3 linked regions of the Drosophila melanogaster genome follow. The protein of the gene in region 3 interacts with the protein of the main gene of each other region in a pairwise test. Each region holds a gene or a part of one and is shown on either strand. Other genes may lie near its edges. The genes, in order: CG14252, Naa20A and Tsp42Eb.

Region 1 (10,874 bases), on a different chromosome or scaffold from region 3:
TTAAACGTTTTGATCAATATGTGTTTTGACAAGCTAAGATATTAGTTTAATAACTTAAACGTTTAACGAGAGATAATTGGGATTAAACCATCAAAAGTTTAGACAAGGCAATTACGGCCTATCAACTGGTGATAATGCATTTTATTTAAGAAATTATAGGCAATTAAAGATTTGTTCAGAAATTTGTAAACTAGCATCACATTTTTATTCCAGGGGGTAGAAACTTATAGCAATGCTGAAAACAGGATTGAAATAAACTTAGCAGTAGTTGTACAAAAGTTTTCCAAAGGGTGTGCTATTAAATGGGAAATACATGCTAATGGAGTAAACTTATTCGAAGCCCATCTCATAAATACGCACACACAGCCGCCGAGCCCTTATCCTTATCCTTGGCAACTACTCCACTGGCATCCACCCCAAACCAAATCAGCCCCATTGACGTCACTTTTCTGTGCTCGCGAGTACACATTTACTTTTCTATTTCTATGTAAGGAAGTGGGTCAAGGATTGAGCCGTTGCAGTTCAGTAGTCGCCGTGTACCAAAATGGAGAGCCCACCAGCCAGCCACTTGCAGTCGGGCTAACAACTTGTTTAGGCCACCGCAGGAGATGGCCAGTTAGGAGCCAAGGAGATGAATAGTCAGTGGGAAATCGGTTAGGCCTATGCCATCCATCCATCGGTCACACTTCGCAGAAGAGGCGGCAGAGATCTAAGAAAAGAATTGAGGCACGCCGACAATCGACTGACATAATGCGCCAAATAGATGGCCAGATAGAAAGATACGAAGATAGAAAGATACTTTGCTCAATGAAGATGCGCGGCACCCCGGTAGCCGCATGCATTAATATAATTGACACAGAAAGCCCAAGCTGGGCATTAATTTGTGCACCGCACGCAGCCTAAAAAAAACAAAAAAAAAACTCCAGATGTGGGGAAAGTCCAGGGCAATCCGGTGGATGGAGTCGATTCTTGATGGATGGCGGCAAGTGCAGCACAGTTTTGCCACTCGAACGGATCGATGGCAAGTGATTTTGCAGCTGCCGATCAAAGCGCACAACAGTGTTGACCAGCTGTATCTCTGTATCCGTATCTTCGTCTGTGTGGCAGATACTATCTGAAAGCTCGCTTCCTGGTTGCCCCCAGAACACGCATTGTAAGCCAATCGGCTCAATTAATTGCAACTAGGCGCAAAGCCCGCACCCAGGGGATTCCAGTTTGTCAAGGGGTTGGGTTGGAGGACTCGGTATTGGAGTTCGAGGCGATGGATGGGGGCTCCAACTGGCTGGCTGCATCTGCCAGCGGGTTTGCGGCATTCTTGGCATTCGTGTGTGAACGAATGAGCCAGGGGAATTGATATTCAATCTTTGTGAAGTACTCTCGTAGCCAGGGGTTAGTCAACTTTTTGAAGATACTTTATGTATTTAAAATAATTTCGAGAAATGACAATTATTGTTACGTCGTCTTCTGAAGTATGTTTTATTGCAAATCACTGTACTTAAATACCACTTACATTAGGTTCTTCAAACGAACTTGATCAATAATTGACGATAGGTGTGTTAAATATAGAAAAGTTAAGCAACCATAGAGCATTGCATATTTGTGGTAGCCAGCTAGCCAATTATTGCGCTTCTTGTTTGCTTTGATTTGATCGCCGATGCGGCTTTTGATGGCATGCATTTCATTTGCCGCCATTCCGAACTAATGGCGGCGTCCGAAGTTCGAGGCAGACTGCAATGCCCCCGAATGGCGACGGATGGGTGCCAAACATATGTTTGTTTGTGGTCGGTCCCCTCTAATTTGCCCTCTTGGCTGGCGATTGATTGATTGGCACTTTTGATGGCAGCGACCTGGCGTTTTTGGCCAACATTTGCATTTCACCTGCAAATGCAGAGCATTTCCCTATTTGAATCTATTTATATGATACCTTCTCAACTATATGATACTCCTCCTCTTGCAGCCTTTTGATTGAGCCAAGTGTGGCAACATCTATCAGCAACGGCAGCCTGACCATCGAGATCGAACGGGATGTGTCCAAGGTGACCAGCTGGGAGCCCATCGTGCTCGACGTGCACAACGTGAGCATCTCCAATGTCCGGGTGATCCGTGCCCTTGCAGATGGCGCCAGCAATGCCAGCGAGGAGCAAGACTTGGATTTCGACAGCGACTACGGGGAGGATAATGCCACGTTCGTGATCAATTTGAGCAAGACTTTGGCGGTGGAGACCCAGCTGAGAGTGCTGCTAAGTCTGGATTTCGTCAGCCAGGTAACGGATACACTGCAGGGCATCTACAAGACCAGCTACACCAATCCGGACACCAAGAATGAAGAGTAAGTCCAGAACCACATGTCCACGAAAGTTCCCCTTCTAAAGTTCCCCTTACTTTTAGATGGATGATAAGCACTCAGTTCTCGCCCGTCGATGCCCGTCGCGCCTTTCCCTGCTTCGATCGTCCGGACATGAAAGCCAACTTCTCGATCAGCATCGTCAGACCCATGCAGTTCAAGATGGCCCTTTCCAACATGCCCAAGTCGGGCAGCCGTCGCTTCCGCCGTGGTTTCATAAGAGACGATTTCGAGACCACGCCGAAGATGCCCACTTACCTGGTGGCTTTCATCGTGTCCAACATGGTGGATTCGCGGCTTGCCAGTCAGGACAGTGGGTTGACGCCGCGAGTGGAGATCTGGACGCGACCCCAGTTTGTGGGTATGACTCACTATGCGTACAAGATGGTGCGAAAATTCTTGCCCTACTACGAGGACTTCTTCGGTATCAAGAATAAGCTGCCCAAAATTGATTTGGTGTCCGTGCCGGACTTTGGATTCGCTGCCATGGAAAACTGGGGACTCATAACGTTCCGCGATTCGGCGCTACTGGTGCCCGAGGATCTGCAGCTGGCGTCCTCATCGGAACATATGCAGGTGGTGGCCGGAATCATTGCACACGAGTTGGCCCATCAGTGGTTCGGCAATCTAGTGACCCCGAAGTGGTGGGATGATCTCTGGCTGAAGGAAGGCTTCGCCTGCTACATGAGCTACAAGGCACTGGAGCACGCCCATCCGGAGTTCCAGAGCATGGACACTCTGACCATGCTGGAGTTCAAGGAGTCGATGGAGCACGATGCGGACAACACCTCGCATGCCATATCCTTTGATGTGCGCTCCACCAACGATGTCAGGCGGATTTTCGATCCCATCAGCTACTCAAAGGGCACCATTCTGCTGCGCATGCTCAATTCGATCGTGGGTGATGTGGCCTTCCGGTCGGCCACTCGTGATCTTCTAAAGAAGTTCGCCTATGGAAACATGGACAGAGATGATCTGTGGGCCATGCTCACGCGCCATGGTCACGAACAGGGTACTCTGCCCAAGGATCTGAGTGTCAAGCAGATCATGGACTCGTGGATCACCCAGCCCGGTTATCCGGTAGTCAATGTGGAGCGCCGTGGTGCTGATCTCGTGCTGCGCCAGGAACGCTATCTGCTGCCCTCCAAGAACACTGCGGATCAGAGCACCTGGTTTATACCCATCACCTTCGAGACGGATGAGTTGCGCAAGGGCGACAACATACCCACCCACTGGATGAGAAGCGAGGACGAAGAGGAGCTCATCGTGGGCAATGTCTTCGCGCATAGCAGCAACAGCGATAACGTGATCTATCTGAATCTCAACCGGCAGGGTTACTATCGTGTCAACTACGATATGACCTCTTGGCTGGCGCTCAAGAAGAACTTTAGCACATTGCCCAGGATCACAAGGGCCCAGTTGCTGGATGATGCACTGCATCTGTCGCAAGCGGAATACCTTACCTACGACATACCGTAAGTTTGAGAAGTAAGACAAGTAAATGAAATTATTAACATAAAAATACGTTTGCCTTTAGATTGACCTTCCTCATGGAGCTGTTCGATGCTGTGGATGATGAGCTGCTGTGGATTGCCGCCAAACCTGGTCTCAACTATCTGATCTACAACCTGAAGAGGGAGCCTGCCTATGAGACTTTCAGGGTAGGGAATCCAGTAAAACTAGTAAATTTTAGAGTGTTTTATAATATATTTTGTTTAACCAGGCCTTCATGAAATTCATCGTACGTCCCGCCTTTGATCATTATGGCCTGCATGAGCCGGACAATGAGTCCCACTTGCAACTGAAGCACCGCGCCTTGGTGGCCTACTTTGCCTGCAAGTTCAACTACGATCGCTGCACCCAAAAGGCGCAGATGAAGTTCCGCGAGTGGATGCGTGATCCCAAAAACAATCCGTAAGCTTGTAACTGAAATACAATACAAAAACTTATTAAAAACGATGCAATCATAAATCAACAGCATTAAGCCAAACCTCAAGTCTGTGATCTACTGCACCTCCTTGGCGGAGGGCTCGTCACCGGAATGGTATTTCGCCTACAAACAGTACAAGACAACCACGAGTGCTTCCGAGAAGGAGGAGATACTGACCTCACTGGGCTGCACCACCAAACCCTGGCTGCTGTCCAAGTGAGTAACTACAACAGTTTGATCCATCAAAGACCAAAGACTGATGTGCAACAACTTTGTAGGTACCTCAACATGACCATCAATCCAACATCGGGCATACTAAAACAGGATGGCGCCTTGGCCTTCCGTGCTGTGGCCTCCAATGCCATTGGTCATGAGATAGCCTTTGATTTTCTGCAGGGCAACATAAAGGAGATTGTCGAATAGTAAGTGATACTTTGTGTGATAGGTTGAATGTATATATTAATTTAGTTATGTTCAATTGCACCATAGCTATGGCGATGGCTTCTCCACGCTGTCCGAGATGATCAAATCGCTGACCATCTACATGAACAAGGACTACCATAAGCACCAGCTTCTGGACTTGGCCGCTACCTGCCGCAAACTGGGACTCCATGCCGTGGAATCGGCCATCGAGTTGGCGCTGGAGCAGGTGAACAACAACATCTATTGGCGCAGCCACTCGTACCACAGCCTGAAGAACTTCCTTGAGGGGATCGTCAGCGAGTTCCAGATCAATATCTTTTAGGAGAACACATGGAAGTTGGAAATGGGGGAGAACTCAAATTGATTTCAACCAAAAAATGCGATTTAGTTATTGTAACTATTACCATTATTTGTATTCGTGCAAAGGCCTCAAATTAATTTAATCAAACGAATTATTTGCGAAAAGTGATATAAACGTGTAAGTTAGCCAGCATAATTTAGGTAAACGATTTACTTTTTGCAATTGTATATTTATTTATTTGTAAGTCTCGCTTCTTTTGCTTTGCGGCATTGCTCTGCAACGTTCCTACTAAAAAATAGAAAGCAATCGGAAAATGCATAGTTCGAATAACTCCCATTCATCACTTCAGGCAACAGTTTAAGTCCACAACACAATATCTGCCACGAAATATCTAAAGTTTAAAACCTGTATTATCTATATCTATATCTATACTTATGATTGTCAAGTACTTTGTGTTGTTCGCACACCTTTAGATCCTAAGTGAATCAATCTAGCACTAAGTGAACCAAAAATCTATTTTGTAGTCGATCCAATCAAGGGACTTAATGGTCCTGGAAGGAAACTGAGCATGGGAAGATAATGAAACTGAGTGTCCTTAGTACATGGTTTAAATTGTTTGCTAAAGCAAGAGTAGTACACAACACACAACACACAAGTAATATATTTATTCATGTACGCGTGTAACTATTATGTATTTTGTAAAGCCCAACACAAAAATACTTGTATTGCTGCTGCACAACCATGTAAATAAGTTTTAAAGCTTACACTAAACACTTAAATAAACTATGTATTTACGTAATTTTATTCAAAACTCTTCTTTAATTACTGCTTATAAACTTTGATTTATTTTGGGAGTTTTGAATTTGGCGGTTAAGAAGAAATTAAATCAACTGCTTATGCGGCCCTGAAATTCAGTATTTTCAACAGAATGGTCACACTTTATAAATATATGAATAAATTGCACTTGATGGCAACCCTAAACATTGGTTTTCAAGAATTTTCTGGGTTTCATAAAACGGTCTTACTATCAACTAAATTTTTGTAAACAAATATTAACACAGCTTGTATATTTGAAAAAGTAAGTATATAACGAAATTAGCAACAAAATAAGACAAATTAGGTTACCTAATAAATAGCAGACCTCATCTTTGACTTTTGTGGTATCAATCAGTCGAATACTTTGGTGTTTTCCTGACACCCGAGATACTAGGCTTTGTTTTGAAATCCCTAGTTCAAACTCAAACTTTATGCAATTTCATCTAGTGAGCAGAAGGAAATGGGACGCTTCCGAAGAGGACAGATTCATCGACATCTGGATCCACAACTTGCATCTGTTTGAGCCTGGCAAGAAACTGACAGAAACCTATGCGGAACTGGAGCCCTATTTTCGAGATGTTGGCGTAGAGATCAATGTTCAAGGCATAAAGTCGAAAATGGAATCCCTGAAGCGGAAGTATTTCAAGTCAGTACACAACTTTCAGATGAAGAATCGGTTTGATAATCTCTGGGATTTCAGTTTGTTACACTCCGACCAGGAAGACCAAGCTATCACCTGGAGGCACTTCGATGCGATGGCTTTGGTGGTGAGAGCATCTGCCAACGAGGGGAAGGATTCGGAATGGAAGGACTATACGCAGCCATCAAAGACGCCTCGTAAGAGTCCATTGAATTCCAACAAGGAAAATGTATCTAATCAAAGACTTCGAAATTTCAGATAAAACGCGCTCTTCTGTTTATATGAACAATCCCGCACAACGTATCAAATATGGTTCGAAATTCATAAAAGTTTAAATTGTATACATTCTAAGCGGTTTTCATTTCTTTATAGAGACACCATTCAAAACCGTCTTCGTGGATGAAAGTGCTGTGAACTATTTTGACGATGAGGAAATGCCCAACGCCAAAAGAGTTAGGAAAAGATTCGGCAAAACCAGCAATGTCAGAGTAAAGGCGCGAAGAGTTTGGCAGCCGGCGGAGGAATGCATATTCGTTGATGTGTGGGAAAAGTTCGCCAGTCACATACAGAGTGATAGGAAAAAAATGGATGTCTACAAGGATATGCATAATGAACTGCAGCTGCGTGGTGTTGGCATATTACCGGGCGATATCAAATCCAAAATTGAATCACTTATGCGCACGTTTAGGTAAGAACTTTATAAGCTTATTATGCTGTTATAATACATTACCAATAATTGCAGAGCACAGCGAGATTCGGTGGGAGATAAGTCCGAGTGGATTCATTATTCGAAGATTTTAAAGATCCAGACTCCTATTGATTTCACCAAGCTGGATGTATTTTCCGAGCACAGTAGCAGCTACGAAGACGATGCGTCCTGGTTCAAAGAATTGGAGCCGAAACCGGATCCCGATCCTATCAGCCATCCACCGAGCTCTAGCGATTCCGTTGTCAATCAGTTTGACAATAAAACTCAGCCGAGCTCTCCCGCGTGCAGTGAAGACTGTTTTTGGTCTGATACTGAACCTAGCCACTGCAAGGTGTCTATTGAAGTGTTGGACCAAGATGAATCGACAAAGCCGTTCGAATCTCCCTCCATTGAAAAGCATAAGGCTGCTGAAGAATTTAGTCAATTTGTAACAAAAGAGCTAGCCGTCTTGAATGATGATTTGCTAATCGAAGCAAAACGCCAAATATACAATATCATATGTGTCTTGCAGAAGAAACAGAATGAAGTAAATAAAAAAGCATAGTGACCAATTAAACGTATCTTTTTTCGTACTTGAAATTAAAAAAAAAATCAAAGGTTCTACCGAGATTTGAACTCGGATCGCTGGATTCAAAGTCCAGAGTGCTAACCATTACACCATAGAACCGCGTTGGCAGCCTGGCGCAAAACAAAACATTTACTGCCGCCAGATAACACGAAACAATTATCCTATTTTGGACACTAAAATTTTAAATAAACATTTATCCGTGATATTTATTTTTAAAGAAAAGTTTCTAAGCATCAAATCTTTATATGAAAAAAAAAAATAAAAATTAATTCGAGCAGGTTCTACCGAGATTTGAACTCGGATCGCTGGATTCAAAGTCCAGAGTGCTAACCATTACACCATAGAACCTTGATACGAGCCACGCTGCTAAATGACACTTTTGTGCTGCGGGCACACTTATCTTTGGTTCTTTGGTGTGTCAAGAAGGGGGTTGAAGATAAGGAAACGATAGTTGATTCAAAATAGAGTGTTTTAATTTGGTTCAATACGTTCAGTTAAGTATTTAGAACATTTTTAAAACAAGCTAAACCTTAAACTTACATTGGCATTTTAAGGGTATCGAATGAGCACAGATGTTTGTTGCCAAGCAAGCCGGTAAAAGTTTGTTTGATCGATATACACAATATTGAATTAAAACATCGAGCTGCTCCTTTATTTATTTGATATTGTAAAGCCGAAAAATGGAAAAGGAAAAAAAGAAATCTCTTTTGGAAAGATACAACATACCAATTCACTATTTGGACTTCGCCCACGTGGAAAAGTGCACAAATGCTCGCGAAATGGAGAAAATCGTCCAAATCCTGCGCTCCGGCGAGGAAGGACATTATCCGGACTTGCAACGCTGTGCGGAGGAAAAACTGAAGGCACTGAAACCGGATAGCAAGCTATTTCGCTATGAGGAACAGATAAAGCAAAGCACTGACCTGGACAAAACCGAACTAAAGCCCATTCTGGTAGGTTGTCTACTTCATTTCAAATAAATATTTATGGATTAACCTGTATTTATACCTTAGGATTGGACTGACGCCATAAAAACAAAGGACAATGCTCTCAATGAGCTGAAGAAAGTTAAGCAGAATTTGAATCTTCCATCTGTGCGTAAACTTTCGAAAATCGATTTGGAGAAGGAAAGTAAAACTGAAAAACCCAAGCCAGCGCCAAAGGCTACATCTCCGTCCAATACCAAGAATAAGGAGGCTCGAATCAAATCCACCGATTACAGAAAATGGGATAAGTACGATCCCGATGAGGAGATACTGCGCATGGATTTGAACGAGGAACGCGACCAGGAGCAAAGAGAGAAAATCATTTCCAATCACAGTAAATCGGTTACCACGGATAAGCTACAGAGCGAAAGAGATTCTCTATATGAACGCCTCCAAGCACAGCTAAAGAACCTAAGCCAGCTGGAGAAGGAGCAATTTGCTGAAAGGTAGATATATCTTAATGCTTTATTATATGTTTTATATATTTTTGTTGTTGTTAAAGACATCGACTGCGTGGCAATGAGAGCTTCAAGGCAAAGGAATATGAAAATGCCATTGAGGAGTACAACTGTTCAATAATATACGATCCGGAGAATGCAGTACACGCTTACAATAATCGCGCTGTCGCTCGTAAGTAATCATATTAATAATAAAACTCTTTATCAATTTATTGTTCGATTCATTCGCAGATCTCAAGTTGAAGAAATACTTTTCGGCCATATCGGACTGCCAAGCCTGTCTGCAGATCGATCCAATGAATATTAAGGCACACCTTCGAATGGCTGAGGCCCACAATGCCGAAGGAAAACATCTTGAGGTAATAATTTTGAATACTTTCATCTTTTTGAAGGCTAAACCTTTCCGTTTCAGTCCCTAAATGTTTACAAAAAGCTCCTCGACTTTGAGCCAGATAATGCCATTGCCAAGAAGGCCGTCGAGAAGCTAACTTCAATGCTGGGTGAGGTGGCTCCGTCCTCTGCCACACGTTTGATAATTGAGGAGATCGATCCTCCGCAACTGAAGACTTCCGAACCCAAGAAGGAGGCTGAGAAAAGTGAACCAACTGTGGTCAAGAAACCCGAACCAGTTGTCTCGGCAAAGAAGCCACCACCCATTAAAGACTACGATCTAGCCGAGTTGGTCAAGCCGAATCGCATGGTGAAAAGTAACTTGGTGTCAGCCGCAGAAGCCTTGGGAAATAAGATGCAGGCCAGCAAGGGAGGTGCACCTAAGAAGCCACAAAGTCCTCCTATGACACCAAAGGAAACCTTACTGCGTTTGCCACAGGACAACCTTAACAATAGCAATAAACTTCTTATACAGGAAATTTAGAGAACTGCATACAGTGTCTGCAGCGTGATGTTTTTACGATTGTTTAAAAATATATACATATGTAATGCAAATAAATAATGGAAAAATAACTGTTTTGGTATGATCTTTTAGCCACCAAAAAATGAAATCGCGTTAAGTGGTTTGTATAATTTAATTACAATTTCTTTTAATATACCGTTGAAATATTTGTCATAAATTTCGTTTTTTTACAATATAACTTGTATATTTGGTTTTATCGTGTGCTATCCGTAATTGTATTGATGTTATTTTCAGCATTTTGTTCTTCATCGTATTGTTTTCATTTAATTTGGATATAACTAGACAGAGAAAGATTAAGTGCTGTTGGATTTGGTTTAGAGTCGAGTGTACGGTAGCAACACTAATCAACACGTACATTTAACAAATCTTTAGGAATTTCAATACATTATAATATAATAATTTATAAAATGGAAATGTAGCATTTAGTTTTGTTTGGTATTGTTGAATCTTTGCTTAATAGATTAGCCCCATTTAAAATATGCAACATAACAATTAACAATTTCATAATTCTTCTATATTATTCGTTATTTGTTTTGTGATCTCAAAAGCGTTTATTTCTGATAACCTTTGAACGTCACACTCAGTGATACTATTTTTATATATTATTGATATACATATATATATTAAATTGTGGTAACATATGAACATATGCACGTACAATATGATCGGTTTTAAATTATCCGATGAGGTTGTGGGCGATATACACAGAAATAAAGCTAGGAACTTAATCAGAGCTAAACTAGGGAATGTTGAAACATCATTGTATACTGGAGAGATGCGCACATA
Region 2 (10,915 bases), on a different chromosome or scaffold from region 3:
AATAGTGTCTATTTCTATTTCTCAGCCAAGTCTAAGTCTAAGCCGCCACCGTGCGCACTGTGCATCTGTATTTTCTATAGACATTATATTTGATTTTAAACGTCTTATGCGCCGAATTTTTGAACATGTATGTATATGTGTGTATTTATAAGAACCACGCCCTCTAGCCCATGTAAGTAGTTAAGCACAGCCTAAGTAGTGTCTTCATGTGCGGTAGCTGCTTGTCCTTTTTTTTTTCGATTCGTTTAGTTTAGATTCGGTAGATTCGTAAGCGGGGTAGGGACTTGGCTCGGCGGTGGATCGAGGATCGGGGAGCCGGGTGCCGCTCTGCAATCGTATGGCTAAGAATGTATTATAAATGTAATTTATGCTAACACATAACCCAACAACAAACGGACCCACACACCACACACACACACAAACAAACATATATATTTATATATACATATATATATATATATATATATATATAGATATACTAGCTGTAGCTATAAGATTAAAGCACAAGAACAGATACAGATGTGGCTAGCGAGGATTAGGTAGGAGGAAGTGGAAGTGTGGAAGAACCATGTGTGAAATATTGTTAGGCAACAGTTCTAATACCGCCGCAGGATAGGTAGCTCTAAGTTTTCGATCTACTTAAGACAGAGTGGATCCACAGACGGGCCCAGCTGCAAACCTCGGCTGGAGAGAGCTGGGTAATCCACTTTATGCGAAAAGTAAATCTTAAGTCCTTCATATTAAGTGGAATTATTCTTATGTATACATACTGAAAGATTTATTTTTAAGTCGAATAAAACAGCAGCATTAATAACCTGGCCTTACCACAAACTCTACGCCACGATTTTGGGCATCAGGAGCTCCTCCAGCTCGTGGCCGTCGCGCCATGTGAGCACGGAGCAGGCCAGTTCCTGGCCATGGGCGGTCATCTTACCGTGCAGCTCGAATCCGCGCCGGATGCAGGCGACATCCTTTTGCCGCAGCCGCTTAATGGCGCACAGATCGTTGCAACTATCGCCCACATAGATCAAGCGCTCGTATCGCCCGCTGCACGTCAGCTCGTCCATCACGGAGCCCTTGCACATGTTGGAGGGGCAGAGATCGCAGTCAGTCTGCTCTTGGTAGGGCAGCACCAGCAGTTCGCCGCTCGCTTGGACGCATGCGGGATTGGTGAACACGCCGCCGGCAAAGAGGCACTCAATGGCGTACGCCTGCAGCCACTCGCCGATGAAGAAGGAGTTGGCGTCGCTGACGATGCACAGTTCGAGCTCAGGGATCCTGGCTAATTGGCGCATCACCCGCAGCATTCCAGGCACGGCTGTGAGACTGCGCACACGCTTGCCCACCGACGCGGAGTTCACCTTGTGCTCGCCATGCAGGCGCTGCAACACTTGGCTTATGAAGCTCAGCCAGCCGCACTTGGGGATCTGGTCCTGCAGCTCCTTGCGCTGACTGGTCGGCAGTAGTTGGCTCACCGCCAAATAGGAGTCCTGCTCAACGATGGTCCTGTCGAAGTCGATGGCGACTAGGGTGCGCGGTCCAGGCGAACTGGATGCGCTCAGACCGCGTCCGAAGGGCGAAAGGCAACGGCTCAACCGGAGGCTTCTCGAAATTGCAAACATTTTGGTGTGGAAAACAAACAATTTGACTTTAATATCAATGCACACACTCGTTTAAACAGTACAGTAGATATGGGTGAACAAAGCACATCAATATCGATAAGGTAGCGCCAATATCCGAAGGTGCACGAAGTCCCATGGAAGCTGGGGGGGATCTTCGTTCCATCGACCATGCGACCGACGTGTCCGTTTGGCCGACAATGTTGTAATTATAATATAATGTGTGTATTATATGTATGTATATCGCATAAGTTTTAGATATTGTCATTGAAAAATGTTGTTTCGTTTTCCGTTGCATAAAATATTTTCCAAAAAGGTTTAAATATCTAAAATACATTCATAGTTTGTGTGTGTGTGTGTGTGTTGGTAACATGCAAAAAGCTATGCAAATGCATATGGAACAGCAAAGATCAATATACATACTTGTATGGCTTCCAACAAATATGGGTGCACTATATCGCACGTACATAAGTAAGTGTATAATTTAGCTACATGGGCGAATTCATTGGCTAACTATATAAAATGAAACAATATACCATATACCACTACTGGAAACAATCAACGTATCTCTTTCAGCTTTTGGGGATTCACATATCAATGTTGCGATCGGATGAGATACTCTGTGATTATTTCTTATTCTTAAGAATTGAGTAAATATTTACTGACTGACCAAATGGAATCCGAAGTTAGTTTGTGATTAAATTACGTTTGCTTCGCGCGGAAGTTTTGATATTGTAAACCTGGCAATCAGTTTATATCCGATACGAGATCGGATTCCCAAGAGGGAACTAACTAAGCTAACTGCTTGCGTTTCAAAAATCTCAGCTTGGTGGAGGAGCTATTCAGCAATGGGACCAATTAACTTATGTTTCAACAGCGTAACCGAAGCCCAACTTCTCCAATGACCCATAGAAACATAACTTAATGCCCATATATGTATATATGTAGGACATCAATGTTGGCCAGCACTGATAAGCACTGATCAATCAATCCAAGCCTCCATTGCTTTTTGTTTAGGTGGGCGATTGCCGTTCTTTGCCAGCCGACAAGGGAGTCCAATTGTCCCGTCTCTGATGATGCCATCTCGCTCTATTTCCAGCACGCTGCACCTAAACCGTGGTCTGCACGTTCTGCACGGCCTTCGAGAGCTCCACCTTGGAAGGTATCAGATAAAATGCAGGCGTCATCGTCTCCCCGCACGGACACTTGCAGGCTGCAATAAATTAGGAGGAATGAGTGGGGGGCGGGATTATCGGCTGGTGGAGCAGCATAGCCAACCGTTGATCCAGCTAAAGTTTCCCAATTTCTGCTCGCACTTGGGACAGTACAGGCGGCCCTGGGTGTTCAGCATGATGCGGTGCATCCAGGCGATGGGCTCCACAAACAGTATGCTGCGGCAATAGTTTGGCGTGCTTTCGTGGCCGGGTGAACCGAGTGATGACTGGCGGATGCGCTCGGACAGCTGCTCCAGCATGCGAGCACCATGATGATTTTCGGCCTGATCATGTGACTGAGCCGGCAGCTTAGCTGCAGCGACTTCTTCTTTCTCCTTGGGTACCACCTCCTGCGGCGGCCTGTCACGCGGCTTGTGCTCCAGTACATGCGACTTGGAGGCGAGGACGCGGCGGCAACGACGACAGCGGAACACTATGGGCTCCGGGTTCTCGCGCGTTATATCTGGATCCGGACGGACCACGCTGTGGAAGCTTTGCGGCAGGATCTTGGCCTTGCGCATCTGCTCGCCAGCCAGGCGCAGGCGATGGATCTTGTAGCGCTGGCAGTTGGGGTCAATCTTGCAGCCCATGCGCCGGAAGAGCTTTAGTTGGCTGACAAAGCCAGCGTTTGGCTGGACGAAGCGCCGTTTGGCCTTGACCAGCTCGTAGGCGGGCAGGAAGTCCAGATTGTGTCGCTTCATCATGTAAGCGATCACAGTGGATGAGCTGCGACTGACGCCGAAGTAGCTGTTGGAAGGCACAAAGAGTCAGTGGCCAAATCGTGGGCCGGTCAGCCTAGGTAAGATGCTCACCAGTGCACAAGGACATTGCCCTGCTGGGCCAGGGCCGAGCTGATAAAGTCAACGCAGCCCTCCAGATGCTGCAGAATATCTTCGCGCGGCATGTCGGCAACTGAAACAGGGATTAACGCCAGTGAAGTTGTTGCACATTCACGAAGCTACCGATCTGTGTGCTTACTCTGTATATATTTGGTGGTCAGAAAGCTGGCCTCCAGAATGTGCTGCGGCAGCGGGACCGAATCCAGCGTGAGGATGTGGGTGATCTTGAAGGAGCGCAGCGTCTCCATGTGCGTCGCCGCGGTCAGGTTGCCTGGTGGTGTAAGGAAGGGTTGAGAAATGCATCGATCACAAGGATTAGAGCTATATGCTTACCTAGAAACAGGCCTGTGTCCACCTCGTCGATGCTGACCGGTCCGCCGTCGAAGTCCTCGCGCGTCAGCACCCCGGAGTCCTGGGCCTTGCCACCCCCCGCGGAGGACGAAGGCCACGCCTGCCGTTGAGACTGAGACTGTTCCATGGCCAGGCAACAGATACCAGCTGGAGGCAGAGGAAGAAGAAGAGCGAGGACAGGACCTAGCGTGGAAATGGAAGTGCTAGTAGTGTGACCGCGGCTGCATTGCGCGGTAACCGATTTGTGGGAAAGCTCGCTTCCAGGCTATCGATAACTTGCCATCGACCGCGGCGCATCTCTATTGCCGGCGAGTATAGCAATTTTATAGGAGCAATAAAAAGGATCGGATTAGCCGAGATTAAGTGATAAGATGACCACGTTGCGACCCTTCACCTGCGACGACCTCTTTAAGTTCAACAATGTGTGAGTACAGTGGATATCCACATGCGCATATCCGAGGCTAATACCAATACCGCCGTGTGCTCCGCCAGAAACTTTGACCCACTTACGGAGACCTACGGGCTGTCCTTCTACACCCAGTACCTGGCCAAGTGGCCGGAGTACTTTCAGCTTGCGGAGTCGCCCAGCGGACAAATAATGGGCTACAGTAAGTACTGCATTTCACTGTGTGCACGAGTTCCCCTATCAAGTGTGCTCTACATTCTCTAGTCATGGGCAAGGTGGAGGGACACCTGGACAACTGGCACGGACACGTGACTGCGCTGACCGTCTCGCCCGACTACCGGCGCCTTGGTCTGGCTGCGCTGCTCATGAGTTTCCTGGAGGACATTTCGGAGAAGTAATTCCAGCCCCAATTCGTTGGATATCAATACAGACTAAACGACTACTTTTTCTCGCCCCCAGAAAGCGAGCATACTTTGTGGATCTTTTTGTGAGGAAGAGCAACCAGGTGGCAATAAACATGTACACGAACCTTGGCTACATCATATACCGCACCATACTTGAGTACTACTCCGGCGACCAGGACGAGGATGCGTACGGTGAGAGCGCACAGAATTTGCATTGACTTCTAAGAGGCGCCTAACAATCGATGCTTTACCCACTTTGCAGACATGAGAAAGGCCTTATCCAGGGACGTCAACAAAAAGTCGGTCATACCGTACACGCAGCCTGTACGACTGGAACATATAGATATGAATTGATACGATATCAACCCAGTAGCGCCCGAAAACGCATTTATGTCTAACTAATCCCGATCCACCATTTGAAATGGGCGCGAGCGCATCACTTCGCAGCCCATTGAATTCTAGTTAATTTAGCAATGTAAATAACCCATAATCCCGTGATCTGCCCGGTGATAACATGCGATTCGATTATGACCGGATTCCCATCCCGCTTGCGAACCAATCCCCCGGCGCCAGTATTTGCGTGCATTATTTCCCAACCGAAACTAAGCCTGTAATTAAGTTACATGACCGCTCCGTTACCAAATTCAGCACAAATTCTCGATAATTCTATTGACTTTGAAATTATTTAAAGATTTCGTAAGCCGATGCGTAAATAACCACAAACACAAAGATTGTTCCACAGTTCTGAAGGTAAATAACGTAAGCAACTTGATTACTTCATCATCGTAAATGACAACCAGTATCTAACGCCAACGCTATGACCACCCATCTAGCCCGCACACGATCCTCTGACCATATCCAGTTTTTTTTTTGCAGATCACAATGCGCGAGCTGCGCAGACAAATGCGACACGATCACTAAGTGGAACGATTCGCGGCGGATGTGGGCATAGCCACAGCCATCGCCATCGCCATCGCCATGTGCTTTATCGACCGATTCCCATTTACTAATGTGCTGCTGCATAGAAAACCATTTTGAGAATAAAAAGAAAATAAACCCCCTGGCATATAAAGTTCAATCTGTATTTGATTGATTGATTGGAGGAAAGCTGACTTTCAACACACCTTATAATAATGTCCTTGTGGTGATGTCCTTTTTTTTAGTGCTAGCAGAAGGATAGAAAAGTTTTCGGGTTTATAATAAATACCCTGTATTATATGGGTAGCTTCCTAGCTCGACTCAGCAGCTCCTGCGCATTTGTTACCCCATTTGGGAACTGGGATTGTTGATTGATTGATTGTGCCAAAATACTGAGTGACCTTTTAAGTCCTGGCAACCACTGTTTGATCAATAGCTGGTTGGGTGTTTAGTTCGGTATCTGATTGATGGCCCATTCAGTGCGCAAAAAATGGCGAAGAAGGGAGGAGTCCAGCAGCTTCAGGCCGACCTCGCCTCGGATGAGGAGTTCGAGAAGTTCCTGCAGCGATCCGGATTGCTGGGTACGTTCTCGATGCGATGGTTAGCCATTAGTCCACCCAGTAATCTCGCTCTAATCCCTGAGTGCTTCAGTGCTCGATATATACTCCGAATGGTGCGGTCCCTGCCTCGGCATGGTGGGTAGCCTGCGGAAGATCAAGCTCGAGCTAGGAGGCGACAACCTGCAGTTGGCCATCGTAAGATCACACAGTCGGAAGCACCGAGGCGTAGCGCACTAACATCCCCATCTTTTCCAATATATGCCAGTGCAAGGCGGGCTCCATATCCTATCTGAAGCGATTCAACAAGAAGAGCGAGCCCACGTGGATGTTTGTCACGGTGAGTGATCCCATGGGAACATAATGCCAGGTGAATATGTATTGTCTTTCCTCTATGTTTATGTTTATGGACCATTAGAGCGGCAAGGCCATCAATATCATGTTCGGCACGGATGTGCCCAAGCTGGTGGCCATGATCACCCGAATGCTGCAGTCGACGATGGCCAAGGAAACGCACCTGAGCTACGAGATCACCGAGCTCCAGCCGATCGAGCTGGAGCAGCTGGAGGTGCGCAACAAGGCGCTGCGCCTGGCCGAGGAGATCGAGCTGGCGGAGAGCCGTCGGAAGCGGCTGGAGTACCTTCACAGCGTCACCGACTGCATCATGGCCAACCTGCCGGACATCGGGATCACGGTCTTCGGGCCACAGGTTAATCGCGACATGTTCAAGAAACTCTCGGAGCCGGCTGATCCGCTCAAGATTCAGTGCAAGGACCGCAAGGTATTTACCATTCTGCCTAGCGACATCGCCACCGTCAACTTTGCTGCGGAGAATCCACTGTCACCGGAGGTTATCGAGCAGCTCTACGACAAGGAGCTGCTGATGTGCTTCTGGAAGGTGGACGAGGTGCTCGGCACGCCACCGACCGTGCTCCGCCAATATGCCCACGAGCTGACCAAGGAGACCATTAAGCCGCCGGACGAGTTCAACGAGGAGGAGATCACCGTGCCGCCCATGATTGTGCCGCTGGAGGTGACCGTGGAGATATCTGATCCAGGTGAGACGCCTGTCATCCTTGCTAACTTGATCTATTCACGAGTTTTACTCTATTTACTCTCTGGTTAGAGCCATCAACGGAGAATAGTCAGGTGCAGCCGGACGCAGTGCATCTGGCCGAGATTAGGAGCGAAAATGTAGCGGAGGCTGAGGAAGAGACGGAGACAGAGGCGGAGGCAGGTGCGGCACCAGAGGCCAAAACTGCTCCGGTTGCAGCTAAGAGAACCAAGACTATTCGGATACCGCCGATTTGGGTGCCCAGTGACCAGCGCACCCATGCAGCGCTAATCTACACGTACTTCCGTGCCCAGACCACGACCTTCCTTCCGCCGGATCCCGTGCCGGAGCCACCGCACATCGTGATGATCTTCGACGCCTACAAGAAGAAGGATCTCGCTATTCTGCTCGAGACGTGTCGCGAGGACATTCCGCTCTATGGCTTCTTTAACGGTGACAATCCGCTGACGGCGCAATTTATAGCAAACTCCGTGGAGAAGTACAATGCCAAGCCGTATGTTCCGTAAGTGCTGCCAACGATCCACTGGCCAACGGCTGATGAGTTACATATGTAATATCTGTCTGATCTTGTGCTGTACCTTGCAGTACCGACAAGATTGTACTGAAGGTGAACAAGGTGAACAGTCCGACCATTCCCACGCTGATGGCCTACGGTCCCAGCTACGTTAGCGCCAACTCGGTGGTGGGCCACCAGGAGGCCACACAGTTCTTTCCCGCCAACTACAAGTCTGCGCTGCAGGAGGAGGAGGAACTGCACGCCGTCAAGACGGAGAAGCCCAAGAAGCGCAAGAAGGTAAGGCCGTCGCTGATTTGGGGAGAACATTCCAGCTCACTTCCGTTGATTCCGTTGCAGAATAAAAAGGGCGGCGATCCCGAGGAGAGCGGCAAGGCGGACGCCGGACCGGCGGATGCGCAGATGGAGGCGGAAGAAGCGGTGAAGACCTCGCCGGAGGAAGGCGCCTCCACCACGAGCAGTGGCGAGGACAGCTGCGAGAGTCGTCCTGCCACAGCGGATGGCGCCAATCCCGACGCTTCGCAGGCCACATAGATGCCCTAGTTCCATTCAAAAGTACTGCTCCATTCCGAAATATTATGATTATAATACTATAATATTAAATTACCCTTGACGGCAATCTTTTAAAAATTATACAGCAAATTAATGAATATTGCATATACCGTGTAAATTTTTCAATTTAAACGTAAGCTTTTATCAGAATCAATTATAATTTTAAAATCAATTATTAGGGATTGCGGTATCGTATATTATGAACCAATTCGCGTCCTATTTTACTTTCTGCCCCCCTGGGGAGATGAACACTTTAGTTGCTCTCAAATAAAAAGTAAAAACGAACACAATGCGAAAAATTTGGGTATCTGTATTTTAAACTCGATAACGCACACTGATTAGTCTGCTTGCCGTGCTATCGACTATCGTTTTACCAAGCACAGACTAATCAGCTGTTCCGCTCGTCACGAACGTGACGGTTTGTAAAATTAAATTGTATAATTGTTGTATTAAAACACTAGCTAAACGCAACTTGCTATCGACCGATGGATTCCAATCTGCGCAACGTAAGTAAAAGAGTGTGCTGAACTCCCGCTGAACCTTACTCACTGGCCACGCCTTTCAGCTCAAAGACTTTTTCACATTATACAACAAAGTGACGGAACTGTGTTTCAGCCGATGCGTGGATAATCTCAGCCAGCGCGACCTGGGCGGCCATGAGGTATGTATAAGGCTGGGGAATCCACGGAGGTATTCGTCACTAAATGCCGCTTCACACGACAGGACCTCTGTGTGGACAGGTGCGTTACCAAGTTCGCGCGCTTCAACCAGAATATGATGAAAGTTTACGTGGATGTGCAGACCACAATCAACGCCAAGCGCATGGAGGAAATGGAGGAGAACGCCCGCAAGGCCGAGCAGCAGCAGAGGGAGCAAGAGAAGGAGCGACTGAAAGAGGCGGCCGCCACGGCAGTACTTACACCTGTCCAGCCGCCTGTCGCCGGCAATCTGTCCATGTAGCAGCAGTGGCATGCAACGCCGCAGCTGCTGTTCTCGATCCTAGATAGCTAATCGCAGAGTCCAGACCGCCCTCCACACCCGCAGTCGGCGACCACACGTACTCTTCCTACAAACAACCCCAAAACAAAAAAAAAAAAAAAACGAACCAACCAACCACACGCGATGCGGCGCATTTGTCTTGTTGCACTTATCGGCCTGCCAGCAGCCGGCAAATCCTCGCTGTGCTCCTGGCTGCTGGGTCAACAGGCTGCCCTCCGCGTCCGCCACATCGTTCATCTGTGCTACGACGACTTCCTCGACGCTACCCCCTCGGCCGACCTGGCCTACAAGGAGCAGCGCGGCCGCATTTTTAAAGTAATTGAAAAACTCATTTCCGCCATTCAAGAAGACACCGATTGGCCGCCTCAAGTCCGCCGCATTTCCTCCAGCGGCGACTACAACAGCGGAAGGCATCTGATCCTGTGCGACGATAACTTCTATTACCGCAGCATGCGCTACAAGCTCTACCAGCTGTGTCGAGACTCTGGCTGCATCTTCGGACAGATATACATGGCCAGTTCGCTGGACTCCTGTCTGCAGGCAAACTCACTTAGGAGCGATGCCACTCGAGTGCCGGTGGACGTGGTGCGGCAGATGAACGAGCGTCTAGAGGTGCCAGACACTTCGGAAGCCTGGGAACGCAACAGTCTCACACTTAATGGCCTCGATATGGATACCACGGGATCTGCGTTGCTTGCTTTTATTGCATCTCTGCTCGATTTGCCCGCAATGGAGACGACGTTGGACTTGCCACCGGCGGTAGCAAGAGGACTACGACAAGATCAGTCTCTGGTGCACCGCCTGGATTTGCTCCTGCGGACGCGCATTGGGGCGTTGCTCGATGGACTGAGACAAGGGGAGGACAAGCGCTTGGCGGGCCAAACACTGAACAGTAGGCGCAAGGATATATTGACCAAATTCCGCACAGAGATCGGCGGCAAACAGATAGACGGCGATGTTGAGGGCGACGCCTTGGATTACTATGTAAATTTGTTAAACTAGGCTAAGATAAGCTAAATTCGTTTGTATGCCACACAATTGTGTACGTAGCGACCTAAATACATACATACATATGTGTTACAAAACGCTTTCTTGGCATTAAAACTAGATTTATTTATCAAAAAATACAAGTTAATCTAATGGAGCCACCTCAGACCACCTTCACCTGGCTGACGTCCCGCTTCTCGATCATGCGCATCTGTTTCTTCTTCATGCGCTTCAGCTTGGCGGGATTCTTGATGACCTGGACGACCTCCGAGCGGCGCTCGTTCGCCAGCCGGCGCTCGGCATTCTCCACGCGGCGCTGGTGCTTTTGGACGGCATCCTCCTTGCGCTTGTCCTTGATCTCCTTGGAGCGCTCCTTGATGTAGCGCAGCTCGTCGCGCAGGGCCGTCTTCTTTTCGAAGGACAGTCGGTTAACGGTCTTCTTAATCTTGCTAAATCTGCAGGCGAAGCCAATTGATTAGA
Region 3 (10,309 bases):
TTGTGTCTTAGTGTTGCTTGCTATCTATTGTTATACGATTGGCAAATATCATATACGATATAAGACAGCATTTGTTTACAAACCCTCGAGCACAAGTACACAAGTCAGTCTCAAAAGCTTATTAGTAAGGGGAATAGCTAGCGCGACTTGCCCAACGCGACTTTCGATGCCCAGGCGGTACGTGATCGTGTGCTAATTTCCACACCCAGTAGAGCCAAGAACGTCAGCATTTTTTAAATATTCAAATAAGCGAAATGTTTTTACCACGGATGACATCAGTGCGTGTGCCTGTGTGTGTACGTGTGCGTGTTTCCCAAATAAAATGCCGAAATACCTAACTTTTCACGCTTGTATCTGAATTTCTTAATTCCATTCCATTTTTTTCGTCTCCCGAACGATCAGTTGCAGTTCTTCATCCATCTCCACCAGCAATCTCTGGCAAAACTCAGGCAAAATGAGCTGCGGAATCTCCATGGTTAAATATATCCTATTTATATTTAATTTGCTCTGTTCGGTGAGTAGCATAGATACATTTAAGATTACATAATTTCGAGCGGCCAAGCTTAGATCGACTTCTCAGCCTTTTAGGCTGGCAGTGAGATCATAACTTTCGTGCGGAATAAACTGGTTTTCCCAAAATTGGTGTTTTCAGTATTGAAAGGCTGAGAAAGTCGAGGCCCACAAAAGTGGTGAGCATGAGTACATTTTAAAGCCACAGAAGGCACTCTCGTTAAATGCATTTTTGTATTTTTGTGTTCTTTAGGTCGGCTTTCATATTTACATATCATGAAATTAAACATATCTCAATTAATGTTTATTAAGGACCCTTAAAGTAGGATCTATTATAGCATTTATGGTGTCTCTTTTCCGGTCAGCACTATCACTTTCCGGTTACGAAACGCACTGTACGTGCAAAGTGGGGGCAGAGCTTGAGATCATCATCAGTATTCCAAAACCAGTTATTAAAATTGGGCTACGTTTGTGACGTAGCGGTATCCGAAAAATTCTGTATAATTTTGTGTACACTACGTACACTTTTGTTTACTTTGGAGTCCCAAAACCAGTTTGTGTTGTTTCGGTCCCCACAACCGAGCCCCACATCCACAAACATGCATCCCATTAGTCGGAGTCAGTCCGAGGTTAACTGGTTCCAAATGGCAACCAAACAATCATTGAAACGCCAGCAACGGTGGCATTTCGATATGGTTTTGCAACTTCTAACTCACTGCCCCAAAGTCACTGCACCGCCAGGTGGAACTGTACTTCGTCCAACCAGTTTGGGGCTGGGACCCTGACTTGCTGCTGGTGGGAAATCTGACTGCGTCGGAGTACCAGCGCATTATTCGCGTCACGCAAACATGGATGTCATTCACTACGGGCGGAAAAACATCAGCACACGGCGCTAATTCTTCAATCGTATGCAGTATACGGATATAGAAAATTTACAAAACAAAACCATTTTTTGTTGATGGGAAATCGGTAAACGAGATGGATGACCTATCTACTTGAAATAGGTCATTTGATTTGTTCAAGAGTTCCAATCCGCAGTTCTCCAACCTTTTTGATAATTTAAAGTAGCTGCAATTAACTTAAGAACCAACATGGAAACATACAAATATTTTGTCTGTGTGTAAAGTCTGCCGCCACTTCAGTGGAAAGTTGTGTAATGGTTCAAGAGGGGGGGGGGGGGGGGGAAGGGGGTCTCACCCAAAAATAGTTGACTTAATTTAATGTGAACTTGCTCCCATTGTGAGACGACGAGCCAAAACTCGGAAACAACGAAATATCATCTACACACGCACATCATGGAATGGAAACACGGGGGTCGTTGGCGGTACACTTGAACTCAATTTTCCGAGGGAGGGCGATCTAGAAATGCCAGACGAATGCGAGTGGGTGGACTGGTTATTATTATAATTGTGGACCAGTGTCGAAATGTCGCTCTCTTCTGATCGGATGCGATGCTAACTATTCTGATCCCACGAACCGCTGAGCTCGGCGGCTGAGTCATGCTGCAGTTTGGCGCAATCCTACGAATTTATGAACTATAGTTTGGCTGGGGGTGGATCTAATCTAATGACTACGTCAACTGATACAATCAAAGCCAAAGTAAATATGTTTTTAATAGTTATCGTCGATGGCCAGGCGCTTTTATGCATAATCTTAATTAACGAAGCGAATCGGATTGATAAGAGATAAGCTTGTGATAGCCATGCAAATAGCCAATCTGAAACTCTATAAACGAAAATCGCCGAAGAACTGGGCAATAATAGAAAGTAGTTTTAATAATAAAGCAGGTGATTTCGCCATATCGCAAATATTGAAATGCATGTCCCTGGAAGTAGTTCCAGTTTCTCGCAGTGCATATTATTTGTCGAACAACAGGCATGAGCTTTTAACGCCTACAAGCTTTTTAATGAAACAAAAAAGCTAATGATATCCCAGCCAGCATTTATATGGATGAATATTCTTCAGGCGATTTGGTATCGCAAATCTTGTCAAATCATTTGATCAAATTAAATCATAAATAACTTAGAACTGTATTAATTTATTACATGATTAGTAAGTCCAATATAAAACGGATATGAAGTGATTGTTTTTGACCAATTTCTGTCAAAATCTGAGGGCTTGAGAATTCAAGTTTAGTTAGATTAGACAACCCTGGTTGGCTCAGGATTGATAAACTCAACATTTCCCTTCCTCAGATATGCGGCATATTGCTGATCGTATTCGGAGCTCTGCTGTTCAGCAAAGTCCGTAACATGGATGACTTCGCGGAAGCCCTGCGAACCCAGCAGGTGCCCGTAACGATGATCATCCTGGGCACCATCATCCTGCTGATTTCCTGGTTCGGCTGCTGCGGAGCCATTCGGGAATCCTACTGCATGTCCATGACGGTAGAGTACTGATCCTGCATCGTGCCATTCATCTTGCAATTCAAAATGTATTCTTTGTGGCAGTACTCGATCTTGCTGTTCGTCCTGATGATTGGCCAACTGGCTTTGGTGATCTACATGTGGGTGCAGAAGGACAAGTACCTGGAGATCATGGGCGACGTGGTCGAGAAGGCCTGGAACCATCGCACCAGTCGTTCCGACTACATGGACGCGATTCAGATCAGCGTAAGTATTTAGGGACTTCCAAGGACATGTGACCCGCCTTCAACTGACTTTCTGCCGCTCCCGCAGATGAAATGCTGCGGACGCAGTGGCTACACCGACTACGCCTACCAGGGCAAGTTCCCTCCCTCCTGCTGCAGCGACACCAACAACTGCCGCTGGGAGACCGTCTACCGGCGGGGATGCAAGGTCACCTTCGTTGAGTTCTGGGACAGGAACAGCGACATCATCAAGTATGCCGGTCTGGTCATCGCCGCCATCGAAGTAAGTTATTGTCCAGAGTAACGCAATCGAACGAAATCGATCATCGAATCTAGGTGCTTCCCCATGTGAATTTCGAAAATATGATGGATGGGTTCATGTTACCTACCTTCCATTGTGATTTCTTGGGGATAACCAAAAAGTACTAAGTAATGTAAATCATAATTCGTAGCAATGCAGTTTAGTTTGTTATTTTACCATAAGCGTTATGAGATTTACACCTACATGTATATTCTTCCAATATACCATACTCTGTTTGCTTTCAGTTTGTGGGATTCGTTTTCGCCTGTTGCTTGGCGAACAGCATTCGGAACTATAGACGCCGTGCGGAATATTAATCGACAAAGGACTAAGGCCTTGCACTAATTTTAATTGAAACCGAAAGTACGAATTATGTTGCCCAATTTTACGAATATTTACCTGATACAGATGGCCATTCAAATTTGCATAATCTCAAGCGTAAGCAGCAAATGCAGCAAATCCAATGACGAATGCGTAACGATCACTTTTGTAAGATCGTTTGTTCAAAGTTACACTGAATGTGCTAATATGTTTAACTGTACAAAATAACTTATACTCCTGGAGATTGCAATAAACGGAGAAATTTATTTACAATTTACGAAAAGAGTTCAGTCTTTGTCTTAATGGGAAAGCTTACATTGTTTGCAATTCGACTTAATCCCTAAAGCACCTATTTTTCTAAATTGCCACGGGAGGATTTCGGCCATTCGCGATAACGTTTTAATCTGCAAAGTAATAAGTATAAATAGAGTTGGCCGAAACCAACAAGTACACTTTGATTACAGATCATTATCAATCATTGGCTCTATTGACATATTTCCGTAGAACTAACCTATCAGAAGACTATATTTAGTTAGTTAGCTTTTTAGGGCTCAGACGAAATCTTATCTCCATTGAGCTATTTTATCTATGAAGGGCACATAGCCGTTTTGTGAATGTCAATGGGAAATTATTCCGCCGTGGAAACCCCAATAGTTGCCAAAATCTTGTTGAAGTTAGGCTGGGAGTGCACTCGCTAAAAGGTTTATTGCTCGATTGATAGTACATAAATCTAGGCGATAAGATCGGGGACTCACGGGGAAACGGACTCCAAGCAACGTAATATGTGAGTCAGCGTGCACCGCGTACTCTTGACTGGTGATAAGGCAAGGTGTGGAGGGTGTGAATGATTCATCTTATGAACGATCTAACGCCCCCAAGATGGAATCGCACGAGGGCTAGATAAAATTCCGCCACCAGCAGTTTGCACCTACCATTCGTTGAATGAATCATTGCGCCAAGGATGTAATTTCCCAGGTTCGGACCACCACAATGATCTGGTATCTCGTGGGTGCAAAGCGATTCACCAAGTACAAGTACATGGGCATCGGAGCTTCCAGCACAAGTACATACGGAATTTTATGGCCGAGATAAGAGCGCAGCCGATAAGATGAGGACTCCGAGTAAGCTTTAATAGCCGCGTTCTGTCCGAGGGCCCATTCAGTTAGACGAACATCGTCACATCGAACGAACGGATTATCCAGCTAGCCAACGAGAAACCCGAACAGAACCCAGCACCATGAACTGTCTATCCGCGATGTTCAAGTACCTGCTGTACTTGCTCAACCTGGTGTTCGTGGCCGGTGGCATCCTGCTCATTGTGGTGGGCTCCATCATGCTCTCCACGATGGGCAACTTTACGGCCTTCGACGGAGGCGTTAACACCCAGACCATCCCGATCTGCATTATCGTCATCGGAAGTGTCACCTTCGTAGTGGCCTTCTTCGGATGCTGCGGCACCATTCGCGAGAACGCCTGCTGCACCACCATCGTAAGCACTCGGAAATCACCCACTGACCGAAATTGGATTCTAAATGACTTGGCATTCCTTTCAGTACGCCATCTGCATGCTGATTCTGTTCGGCCTGCAACTGGCCCTCTCCATCTGGATCTTCGCGGCCAACGACAAGTTCCTGTCCAGCATGGGCAAGGCAGTGGACAAGGCGTGGGATGAGAACAATGCCGCCCAGGGATACCCCATGGATGCCCTCCAGTTGGCCGTAAGTTTATCGAAATTCACCATCAGATGTCATTAGTTTTTTCCGGATATTTACGTATCTATTCCATTGCAGTTCTCTTGCTGTGGCAACACGGGATACCAACAGTATGAAACCGTGCCCAGCTCCTGCTGCGGCTACAAGGATCGCACCAAGGTGTGCGAAGCGGAGATCTACAGCCAGCGACCTGGCTGCCGGCAGGAGTTCGTCGATTTCTGGGCCTCCAATACGGACCTGATTCGATGGAGCAGTCTGATCATCGCCCTCTTCGAGCTGGGCATCTTCATCATGTCGTGCTGCCTGGCCAGCGCGATGAGGAAGCGCTAGAGCCGAAGTCAGATACAATCCTTAGACGTAGCCCAGTTCATAGCATAAATCCAACACACGAATTCCTCACTCACTCACTCACCGTAAATAAACCAGAATAGGTTAAGCCCAATGAAATATTATTGCTTATTCGCTGTCTACCTCTGGCTGCCGTCTATCTAATCAAGACAGGTTGATGTTTTTCCAAAAAGTATGTCCTTATCGGCCTGTTAGCCGAGTGCCGCGTTTCCGAGATCGAATGCCCTCAGTAGTGGTGAATCACCTCCATATGGCAATGGCTATCGATCTCCGCCCGCCGCCCAGTGCCCATTATCTATTTTTCGTTTCGGCCATGATTATGATAACAGGCACTTGCGTATCTTTCCTCCGATAGCGCCCGTGTCTGTTGGCCAATTTAAAAACAGTAGCCCATCTGGAGGAGCAGTCCAATCGAACGACAGTAAACGACGCGAGTGCGCGATAAAATCAGAGACACCGACAACTCCTTTGGATAAAACAATAGTGTTTATTTAATTCTACTAAATACAGGAGCAAACTATATACTTTCAAAATGGGTTGTCTATCGGGAATAGTCAACTTTATTTTATATATTGTCAATATCGTGTTTTTGGTAAGTGCTTGTCGGTTGAGTATCTAAGTAAAAGGAATTAATAATGTAATGAGACGTGTAACAATAGACCAAACACTACTGGGTGCAGATCCCAAATAGGTTCCAATTATGGATAACTTCATACTCTCCAATTACTTGTGTTATAATGAACTTCCAAAAAATGTCCATTAATTATGTTAATTTATTTATCAAACTGTAGATGTTTATTTATTTGCATATAAGACCTTCTAGCTGACTTCTGTCATTCATTAATCAAGTCATATGCAATAAATATTTGTGCAACAAATATCGAACATGTATTATTTAAAACAAGTGAAATGAAATTTGAAAATCCATAAATTACGCATCGGTCGCTTCCTTTCGATTGTCTTTGAGTCACAAGGTTTAACACTATTATTCATATAAATGTGCTGGCATAGATAATAATATCTATCTGTAATGCAAGTGTGGACGGACATACAGAATTTTATCAGTTGATTGACATTATCAGTGTTTTGTAATATAAGTAATGAGCCCAAAATGAGCTTCAAAGGGGGCACACATGCACACAAGTTCACATTTTAGCAAGGCTAAGTTGGAGTGAATAAAAGATCATTTAGAGAATAAACTAAGGAAATACAACAAACTATTATTTACAAATGATTTATTATTTATCCAAATAAATGTGTAGTTACTCGCAGTATTAACGCAGCTAAAAGATACATTTTTCACCTTAAGAATTATGCCAAAAACAAGATAAAGGTGATTAACGTTTGTTTTTTTTATCAGCTACGTTTTTAAACTAGCCATATCCGTCTGATTGTGAATTTCATTAATTTGTATGCAAGTATAAGACTTGATTATTCACTTTGTTAATCACTTTGTCAACTTAAAGAATCAAATGAAGAAATTTAAGTAAATCTTGGTCACCGACATCCTGAAGGCTATTTTAAAAGCTCATATCTTAGTCCAGTTTGCGGACAAGTTTTCAGTACATAGATATTCCCGGATAATTAGAAGTCCATAAAACATTCATTATAATGTGGTATGCTTATGACCATAAAACTGTTAGGCAACCAGAGATGCCTTCTAGTAATACTCCGAATACTTCCAGATCGTTGGCATCCTACTGATCGTGTTGGGCTCGATCATGCTGTCCGATCTGAGCCGCTTCGATGTCGCGGGGAGTGGAACTGTACTTCGTCCAACCAGTTTGGGGCTGGGACCCTGACTTGCTGCTGGTGGGAAATCTGACTGCGTCGGAGTACCAGCGCATTATTCGCGTCACGCAAACATGGATGTCATTCACTACGGGCGGAAAAACATCAGCACACGGCGCTAATTCTTCAATCGTATGCAGTATACGGATATAGAAAATTTACAAAACAAAACCATTTTTTGTTGATGGGAAATCGGTAAACGAGATGGATGACCTATCTACTTGAAATAGGTCATTTGATTTGTTCAAGAGTTCCAATCCGCAGTTCTCCAACCTTTTTGATAATTTAAAGTAGCTGCAATTAACTTAAGAACCAACATGGAAACATACAAATATTTTGTCTGTGTGTAAAGTCTGCCGCCACTTCAGTGGAAAGTTGTGTAATGGTTCAAGAGGGGGGGGGGGGGGGGGAAGGGGGTCTCACCCAAAAATAGTTGACTTAATTTAATGTGAACTTGCTCCCATTGTGAGACGACGAGCCAAAACTCGGAAACAACGAAATATCATCTACACACGCACATCATGGAATGGAAACACGGGGGTCGTTGGCGGTACACTTGAACTCAATTTTCCGAGGGAGGGCGATCTAGAAATGCCAGACGAATGCGAGTGGGTGGACTGGTTATTATTATAATTGTGGACCAGTGTCGAAATGTCGCTCTCTTCTGATCGGATGCGATGCTAACTATTCTGATCCCACGAACCGCTGAGCTCGGCGGCTGAGTCATGCTGCAGTTTGGCGCAATCCTACGAATTTATGAACTATAGTTTGGCTGGGGGTGGATCTAATCTAATGACTACGTCAACTGATACAATCAAAGCCAAAGTAAATATGTTTTTAATAGTTATCGTCGATGGCCAGGCGCTTTTATGCATAATCTTAATTAACGAAGCGAATCGGATTGATAAGAGATAAGCTTGTGATAGCCATGCAAATAGCCAATCTGAAACTCTATAAACGAAAATCGCCGAAGAACTGGGCAATAATAGAAAGTAGTTTTAATAATAAAGCAGGTGATTTCGCCATATCGCAAATATTGAAATGCATGTCCCTGGAAGTAGTTCCAGTTTCTCGCAGTGCATATTATTTGTCGAACAACAGGCATGAGCTTTTAACGCCTACAAGCTTTTTAATGAAACAAAAAAGCTAATGATATCCCAGCCAGCATTTATATGGATGAATATTCTTCAGGCGATTTGGTATCGCAAATCTTGTCAAATCATTTGATCAAATTAAATCATAAATAACTTAGAACTGTATTAATTTATTACATGATTAGTAAGTCCAATATAAAACGGATATGAAGTGATTGTTTTTGACCAATTTCTGTCAAAATCTGAGGGCTTGAGAATTCAAGTTTAGTTAGATTAGACAACCCTGGTTGGCTCAGGATTGATAAACTCAACATTTCCCTTCCTCAGATATGCGGCATATTGCTGATCGTATTCGGAGCTCTGCTGTTCAGCAAAGTCCGTAACATGGATGACTTCGCGGAAGCCCTGCGAACCCAGCAGGTGCCCGTAACGATGATCATCCTGGGCACCATCATCCTGCTGATTTCCTGGTTCGGCTGCTGCGGAGCCATTCGGGAATCCTACTGCATGTCCATGACGGTAGAGTACTGATCCTGCATCGTGCCATTCATCTTGCAATTCAAAATGTATTCTTTGTGGCAGTACTCGATCTTGCTGTTCGTCCTGATGATTGGCCAACTGGCTTTGGTGATCTACATGTGGGTGCAGAAGGACAAGTACCTGGAGATCATGGGCGACGTGGTCGAGAAGGCCTGGAACCATCGCACCAGTCGTTCCGACTACATGGACGCGATTCAGATCAGCGTAAGTATTTAGGGACTTCCAAGGACATGTGACCCGCCTTCAACTGACTTTCTGCCGCTCCCGCAGATGAAATGCTGCGGACGCAGTGGCTACACCGACTACGCCTACCAGGGCAAGTTCCCTCCCTCCTGCTGCAGCGACACCAACAACTGCCGCTGGGAGACCGTCTACCGGCGGGGATGCAAGGTCACCTTCGTTGAGTTCTGGGACAGGAACAGCGACATCATCAAGTATGCCGGTCTGGTCATCGCCGCCATCGAAGTAAGTTATTGTCCAGAGTAACGCAATCGAACGAAATCGATCATCGAATCTAGGTGCTTCCCCATGTGAATTTCGAAAATATGATGGATGGGTTCATGTTACCTACCTTCCATTGTGATTTCTTGGGGATAACCAAAAAGTACTAAGTAATGTAAATCATAATTCGTAGCAATGCAGTTTAGTTTGTTATTTTACCATAAGCGTTATGAGATTTACACCTACATGTATATCTTCCAATATACCATACTCTGTTTGCTTTCAGTTTGTGGGATTCGTTTTCGCCTGTTGCTTGGCGAACAGCATTCGGAACTATAGACGCCGTGCGGAATATTAATCGACAAAGGACTAAGGCCTTGCACTAATTTTAATTGAAACCGAAAGTACGAATTATGTTGCCCAATTTTACGAATATTTACCTGATACAGATGGCCATTCAAATTTGCATAATCTCAAGCGTAAGCAGCAAATGCAGCAAATCCAATGACGAATGCGTAACGATCACTTTTGTAAGATCGTTTGTTCAAAGTTACACTGAATGTGCTAATATGTTTAACTGTACAAAATAACTTATACTCCTGGAGATTGCAATAAACGGAGAAATTTATTTACAATTTACGAAAAGAGTTCAGTCTTTGTC

What was found.
Region 1: the proteins of Tsp42Eb (region 3) and CG14252 interact in a two-hybrid assay, tested with the Drosophila melanogaster proteins (one large-scale study listed by BioGRID).
Region 2: the proteins of Tsp42Eb (region 3) and Naa20A interact in a two-hybrid assay, tested with the Drosophila melanogaster proteins (one large-scale study listed by BioGRID).

What each region holds. Positions count from the first base shown.
Region 1 is NT_033777.3:26,939,505-26,950,378, forward strand, and holds CG14252 (uncharacterized protein), read left to right. Parts: upstream 1-6,029; 5' UTR 6,030-6,075; coding exon 6,076-6,076; intron 6,077-6,261; coding exon 6,262-6,460; intron 6,461-6,514; coding exon 6,515-6,651; intron 6,652-6,712; coding exon 6,713-6,766; intron 6,767-6,826; coding exon 6,827-7,142; intron 7,143-7,196; coding exon 7,197-7,707; 3' UTR 7,708-7,744; downstream 7,745-10,874. Other genes in the region: CG46339 (uncharacterized protein), read left to right, coding at 1,958-2,329, 2,389-3,819, 3,882-4,005, 4,068-4,258, 4,323-4,490, 4,553-4,696, 4,764-5,019; Spag1 axonemal dynein assembly factor, read left to right, coding at 8,412-8,684, 8,745-9,163, 9,220-9,347, 9,407-9,534, 9,588-10,049.
Region 2 is NC_004354.4:19,616,445-19,627,359, reverse strand, and holds Naa20A (N(alpha)-acetyltransferase 20 A), read left to right. Parts: upstream 1-4,285; 5' UTR 4,286-4,394; coding exon 4,395-4,447; intron 4,448-4,515; coding exon 4,516-4,631; intron 4,632-4,693; coding exon 4,694-4,823; intron 4,824-4,888; coding exon 4,889-5,025; intron 5,026-5,095; coding exon 5,096-5,157; coding exon of another isoform or gene 5,158-5,187; exon of another isoform or gene 5,188-5,592; intron 5,593-5,695; exon of another isoform or gene 5,696-5,709; coding exon 5,710-5,754; 3' UTR 5,755-5,909; downstream 5,910-10,915. Other genes in the region: CG14212 (uncharacterized protein), read right to left, coding at 834-1,622; MKP-4 (MAPK phosphatase 4), read right to left, coding at 2,729-2,832, 2,898-3,580, 3,646-3,745, 3,812-3,943, 4,006-4,150; CG14221 (uncharacterized protein), read left to right, coding at 6,242-6,332, 6,403-6,506, 6,577-6,648, 6,727-7,366, 7,435-7,885, 7,969-8,176, 8,237-8,431; Tim9b (translocase of inner membrane 9b), read left to right, coding at 8,935-8,955, 9,015-9,110, 9,173-9,409; Pstk (phosphoseryl tRNA kinase), read left to right, coding at 9,572-10,450; CG14210 (uncharacterized protein), read right to left, coding at 10,599-10,890.
Region 3 is NT_033778.4:6,993,971-7,004,279, forward strand, and holds Tsp42Eb (tetraspanin 42Eb), read left to right. Parts: upstream 1-4,877; 5' UTR 4,878-4,959; coding exon 4,960-5,211; intron 5,212-5,275; coding exon 5,276-5,440; intron 5,441-5,512; coding exon 5,513-5,764; 3' UTR 5,765-5,878; downstream 5,879-10,309. Other genes in the region: Tsp42Ea (tetraspanin 42Ea), read left to right, coding at 455-514, 8,995-9,186, 9,250-9,411, 9,478-9,672, 9,935-10,006.